Callithrix jacchus: one gene and its partner. The protein of the gene in region 2 interacts with the protein of the main gene of each other region in a pairwise test. Links are inferred from orthologs where the notes say so. Each region holds a gene or a part of one and is shown on either strand. Other genes may lie near its edges.

Region 1 (2,907 bases), on a different chromosome or scaffold from region 2:
GAGTGAAACAGGAGAAAAAGGTAAAGAATACACTGACTGTCTCTCCTCCCCCAATCCTGATCATAGCCCCATTGGCTAATTTAGGATCAGTAAAGAGGCATGGGACATGGGCAGAGACATACTTGGAAGTGGTGTGTACATACTCAGAGGCGGGTGGAGGAATTTGAGCCATGGAAAGTTCCATTAGAGCATGGCTTTCTAATAGAGAATGAGAACATGTGAGATGGAAGCACATGGTCCTTTCATGAAGGGCGGGGTCAGAAAATGGGGGAAAAGAGCTGCAGGAGCCTGGGTTGGGTGGCAAATAGGGGTGGAGAAGATGCAGAAGATGCCAGAGGCTCAGGCTGTAGGGCTTCTCCTCACCTGTTTGAGGTATATGCTCTTCCCTGATGAGTTGGGTCCAGTGATGACTTTGACTCTTCCTTTGTCCCCACCACATTCTGTGGAGTTGGGCACAAAGGTTCGGGCACAGAGTTCCATCAGAGGATGTCTGCAGTGGGTGGAGAGGCACCTCACATAGCTTGTGGATCCAAATGGATGAACCCCCAGAAGATGGAGCCTTTGGACCCCTCATGTTTATTCTTCCACCTCTATTCTTACCTGCCATTCTGGATTCGTACCCCAAGGACTTGTGGGGAGTAACGGGGCCTTGAGTAGCCATAGTCCCGGGCAGCACTGGCAAGAGCCAGCAGGACGTCCAGGCGGGAGGCAAGGTCTAATACTCGGGTTAAGACAGCTGCTCGTGCTAGCACCTGGCACTGCAACTGGTACATCAGCAGCGTCTCCTGGTCTGAGAGGGGGTGAGGGAGGGAGCTGGAGGTCAGCTCCAGGGGAAAGTGAAGGAGAGGCAGAGGCCCCTAGAGGGATCTGGAAACAGGTATGCAGATAAAATCTGAGACCTGAAGACATTCAGAGGAAAAGACACAGAGTCAGAGTGAGAGAGACAGAGTAGGAAGAGAAGGGGCCTGTTGGAAACATTCCCAAGTTGCCCACTCTCCTCCTGCCCCTGGCTGCTGCTTTTTTAAAAACATCTTACAATGCACATAACCTCTGGCTCCTCCTCACCCCGGATCTCGCAGTGCAGGTCCCCCAGCAATGCATCCAGCTCCTTGGTTCGGGCACTACGATAGTGAAGCTTCTCCTCTGAGAGAAACTGGGTACAGGGGTTCAAAACTGTGGGCTTTGCATCTCTTGGTCCTCCTCCTCTTCCTCACCTTCCTAACCTCACCTCCAGCCCCTAACCCTGACTTCTCTTTCCTTTGCCTCAGTGCTGGTAAAGCTCAGAGTAAAACTACAGAGGAGAGAGCCCATACTGGGCAGTGCTGCTACGGGGTAAGGCCCTTCCTCAGCTGCTGACTCATTTTCCTCATCACTCACCTACAAAGGTTGAGGGTCTTACCATGAAGTCCAGTCCGTCAATCTCAAAGTCACTGGCCTCTACCATGGAAGACAGGCGAGGAATACAAAGAAGGAAGCCGATCTGGGGAGAGTAAAGAGGAGATACCCTACTCTCCTGCTTGGAGACTTACTGGACACCTCCTCTCCCTAGAGGAAGCTTAAGAGATCACTGTATCCCCACAAAAAGGTATTCATGTTCTTCAGGCTGCCCCATAAGTTTTCTTATCTACCAGTGTGTCTTTCATAAGCCTATCTCCCCCAAAAGACCTCTGAAGGCTACACCCACTCTCCTACCCTCACCAGAGGGATATAGATGACACTGCATGAAGGAATACGGGAGTCCAGATTCTCCAGCTCCTTGCGGGCAACCTCAGTGAGGAAATTGGGAAGTCCCATCAATCTTCGTTTTTCTACGAGGGTGGAAGACATGTGGTTATCAAAAGTGAGGCTCCTGCCCTGGTTTCTATGAAGATCCCCAGCTGTGGTGACCACCTGCCAAGGATGGTAGTCCGTCCCTGCGCAGGGCTCAAAGGCCCATCCGCACCCAACACTCACTCTCATCAATTTCAGGATCTATGTTGGGGAGCACTGTGAAGCGATTTTCAGCAAGACTGCCCTCAAAGTCTACCTGAGGAGGTAAGAAGTACTGATTCTTAGCACCCGGTACCCTCTCTGTCCTGTTCCTCAGCTCTCCTTGGGCCCCAATTCTCCCTGCAGTCCTGCTTTAACTCTCACCCTCCAGCTACTTCCCTGAATTTCTGCCACCTCCTCTCACCATCCTATTCTTTAACTACCCAACTGACTTCAATAACTCCCATGCTTCCCCATCTCGCACACTGCATTCCCTGGGCTCCAGTCCCTCTCCTTTCTCTCCCTGACCTCCCTGGGTGCACTCGCTCTTTCCATCCACTCACTACTTTCCCAATGAGGCTGGCGATGTGGTGCAGGTCATCAGAGAACTCTTGAGCAATGTCCCGAAAGAGCTGGATGGACTGCGGCAGGGAGCAGCAGGCATCCCTCAGGCCCAAGGCACTGTACACCGTCTGTGAGAGAAACACAACAAGGAGGGCAGCCCATATGCAGCTTGGGCTGAGGTGAGGGTAGGGACAAACTCAGAAGAACAAAGACCAGCAGAGAAGATCACAAGAACAAAGCCGGAAGATCTCAAAGGCAAAAAGAAACAGTGAGACAGAAAATGGCATCTGTAAAATTCGATGCCAGGCAGTGTACTAAACCCTGCAGCTACAAAGACAATTAAAATATGGTCCTGGCCAGGCACGGTGGCTCACACCTGTAATCCCAACACTTTGAGAGGCCAAGGTGGGAGGATCACCTGAGGTCAGGAGTTTGAGACCAGCCTGGCCAATGTGGCAAAACCCCATCTCTACTACAAATACAAAATCAGCCGGGCATGGTGGCATATGCCTGCAATCCCAGCTACTCAGGAGGCTGAGGCAGGAGAATCACTTGAACCCAGGAGGTGGATGTTGCAGTGAGTCAAGATTGTGC
Region 2 (3,601 bases):
ACCCCTGACAAGCCTGCTGGCCTGATGAGTATCATTATCCGAGGGCGCTGCTCACTTCCCAGATGCCCCTTTCCAAGCTGTGAGCTCGGTGGGGACTGAGCTGGGGAAGGGCGGTGGGGCTCAGTCTGGGATGGCCTTCCCAGGCTCCGAAGGCCAGCACACCACCGCTCCTCCTCGTCCACACAAAGATCTAAGACACCTGGCATGAGAAAAACAGGTGAGTGAGGGGCGCCTGGGGGCATAGGGTGGAAACGTAGAGAGGGAACAGGCACACGTGGGGAGGGATTTGCCCTTAGCCAGCCTCAGGCTGGTGGCACAGCCCATGCCCAGTGATTCGGGCAGGGCTGGGCTGCTGGCAGGTAAGTGCCAAGGGTACAGGAAGCGTCCAAGCATAGTAGGACAAGTGCCTGAAAAATGGTTGTGGGCTCCCAGGCCGCAGGGGGTTGGGGCAGCTGGGGCCAACCTGCCACCGTTGCTCTGTGAGACCTGCCACCGGCTCCAGCCCCATTGGGACACCAGAACCCACTGCATCCCGGCCCCCACACACACAGGCTCAGAACAACAGGGCAGGATCACAGGCCGAAGCAATCTGCCAAGGATTCTAATGTTGTAAACACTGATTTATTTAAAAAATACTACAGAGGAGAGATTTGGGTTCAAAAAAAACACAGAGAATCATATACAGAAACAAAATGCACTAGACCAAGAGACGCAGAGGAACCACTGCACACGTCCGAGGGAGCAGGGTGGGCGCTGTGCACGCGCCACTGATAAAAGACCGTCTATAAAAGATGCATACTGAGAGATATGGGTACAATATAGTGGCACATCACGTTAACAAAAAAAAGGGACCAGTACCTCACAGAAACAGGCGGTTGGGGGACCTGGGTGGGTGCTTTGCTTTGTCTTCAAGGCCGCTGTCGGTGACTAATGCCTCCCTTGGGCTGGGTCACAGCCGTTGGGGGCAAAGAGGTGATGTGCTGTAAGAACCGCATAAAACGATCCAGAGAAAACCATTTCTACCAGAAAAATAAAGTCCAAGTTTAGGTGACGAGCATAAAGCTAGGGCCCGTGTGAGGCTGGCGGCACGAGGCAGCACAGGGGCGGGAAGGCGGCTCCTCCTGGTTCTCCCATTGTGGAGACCGGGGCGCAGCCACCTGCCCACTGCTCTTGGAGTTAGCTGCTCTGTCAAGGTCCAGGAGACCCCAGGTCCCTGCCCAGAGTCACAGCCCCCATACCTGGGCTCCAGCCTGGGGCAGCCTCGGGGAGAAGATGCCAGGCGTGCTCTGTGAAACACTCGATGCCTTCAGGGGCTTCATTTGTGGTTTTCCTAACACTCCCTGATGAACCCCATAGAACATGAGGCTATGTCACTCATGGTAATTAAATAAGATACTCGCCCAGTTCAAGAGTGCGGCCGGGACTGGTCAGGGCCTTTCCTCCTGCGTGTGTGCAAGTGCCCGGTGGCAGCTCTGTTCTCTCAGAGTGGCTACACAGAGGCAGGGATTTGAAATGCTTCAAGAACTCAGAAAAGTGAAGACTGTCTTGTTCCAAAGGAATGGGCCTTGTAAGAATCTCCCTTATGTTAGAGGAGCAGGAAGGGGATTGGCCCTTTCAGGGCACCCAGATGTGTGAAAGGAAGGTTCACTCTGGGCCCCTGCAGACCTTCCTGGCCCAGTCTGGGGCTATCTGGCACCAGCTGTTCACCCAACTACCACTGCCTCCCTTCTGCTGGGGAGGGATGTTGGCAGTAACAGTGACCTGGACCCTTGAGACTCAAGCTTTCTTGCCAGGATTCACAGTGCACGTCACGAGAGAGCAAGAGCTGGGCTCCAGGGATGTGGAGAGGACAGACAAAAAGGACACGGCTGGTGCCTCCATCCTTTTCAGCTCCCACCTGCCCAGGACCCAAAAGGCTGGTTGGCTTTAGCACCGATTTCCACCCAAATCAAGAGCCGTCCTGCACGTGAGGAAGTGTTGAGCGCATCCCGCCCCGGGCAGCAGCAGAGGGCAGAGTGACCAGCCATGTGCATGGCCGTGTGTGCTTTTCCCGAAATGTGGTTCTTGAAGCATGTCTTCAGCACAGGAGGGGCAAGGCCAGGAAGTGCAGGCAGAGGGCCTGATGCACAGGCCTCAGTCAGGCTTCCGTTCTTGGAGAAGTGGAAGGAAAAGGCCCAGCCAGGGGAAGAGGGGCTCCAGGGAGAAAACGAAAAGGACACTCCAAATCAGCCATTCCCACCTGGCCTGGAGAGCCTGGAGCGCTAAGCAGGAGCGAGGCTGGCGGGCCCCAGCATGCCAACTGTAGTCCACGGAGCGGGAACTCCACAGATAAAACTCGAGGACAGAGACGGAGCAGGGTGCCCGGGCAGGGAGGAGGAAGGTGCAGGAGGGCAGTCGGTGCAAATGTAGGTAGTAGAGCTGGACTCCACAGGGCCCTGGGCTCTGCCTGGCATAGAGCTCCAGGGCCAAGGTGCTGACTCACTGGTCCCTTGTCAGCCACTGTCACAGGTACGGGTGGACCCGCAGGCAGCTCTGGTGGGCCTGACACCAAACACCTGGCTGCTGCTACCTCTGCACTATGTCGCTGATTTCCTTCACTGAACTGAGGAGCTTGCTGAAGTCCTGAGTGGCTGCCGGACCACTGCCTGCTGTCGCCGGGCAGATCTGAAGCTCCCGGAGATTATTCTCCAGTTTGTTGATGGCCTCTCGGAAGGCAAACTTGTTCCTCATTTGCTGGATGGAATCCACGTAGCTCACGCAGAACGTGTAGAGGTTTTTGCCGGCCTCCAGGACCGCGCTGTGGCTGGCCATCTGCTCAGAGTTCCTAGAGATGGCGAGGCACAGCGCCTCGGTGCTGTCCAGGACCACGCCCTTGGTGATGGTGCCGCTGGCGATCCGCTCTGGAGGCTGGCGGGTTTTCCGAAGAGACACGCGGGTTGATATGAGAGGGATGAAGGCAGTGGAAGATGGCTGGTCCCCAGCCAGGGCCGAGGATGCTGATGGCAACGTGGAGGGAATGGGGGCTGGGCTGACGGGGGTCCCCGATGGCTTGGTGGACTGTGGCTTTGGAGTGGCTGGGAGTACTGGCTTTTTGAAGCCCTCTCCCAGCTGGCTGGGCTTGGCAGCGTCACTGTTCACAGCATCAGCCAGACTTGTGGCTTTTGTCTTTGCTCCCAGGCCTGCCTCCCCGGCCGCCTCCTGGCTCGGGCTCTGTGAGGGCTTTCCTCCAGCCTTCCCTGCAGAGGCTGCTGGTGGGGGCGGCGGGGCAGGTTTGAGCCTGGACAATTTCCCCTTGTCCCTGCCTGGTGACTCAGAGGAGTGCTTGTGCCTCCTCACTCTGGACTCCTCGGTGGGACCCTTGCTGGTGCCTGCTGGTACACCTGAGCCCGCTTTGCTGGTGGGGGGCACTGGCTCAGCTACAGCAGGGGTCCCTAAGGCACCGCCCTTCCCAGCTTCTTCCTTGTTGGGGAGGCCCGAGGCAGGGGCCATCATGGCCTGCCGACGGAGGAGTTTTGGAGTCAGGCTGGGCGGGCTGGAGCCTGGGCTAGACTCCATGATGTCTTTGAAGACCTCATCAGCAGCTTCCTCATTCTTTTTCACC

What was found.
Region 1: the proteins of ABL1 (region 2) and MSH5 interact in binary tests that used the Homo sapiens proteins (3 or more experiments, as listed by UniProt). The link is inferred for Callithrix jacchus from reciprocal best matches to the Homo sapiens genes ABL1 and MSH5.

The regions. Positions count from the first base shown.
Region 1 is NC_133505.1:39,265,967-39,268,873, reverse strand, and holds part of MSH5 (mutS protein homolog 5), read right to left. Parts: intron 2,442-2,907; coding exon 2,313-2,441; intron 2,027-2,312; coding exon 1,954-2,026; intron 1,809-1,953; coding exon 1,699-1,808; intron 1,481-1,698; coding exon 1,400-1,480; intron 1,154-1,399; coding exon 1,066-1,153; intron 791-1,065; coding exon 601-790; intron 491-600; coding exon 364-490; intron 1-363.
Region 2 is NC_133502.1:179,533,167-179,536,767, reverse strand, and holds the end of ABL1 (tyrosine-protein kinase ABL1), read right to left. Parts: coding exon 2,566-3,601; 3' UTR 603-2,565; downstream 1-602. UniProt on the Homo sapiens protein: Non-receptor tyrosine-protein kinase that plays a role in many key processes linked to cell growth and survival such as cytoskeleton remodeling in response to extracellular stimuli, cell motility and adhesion, receptor endocytosis, autophagy, DNA damage response and apoptosis.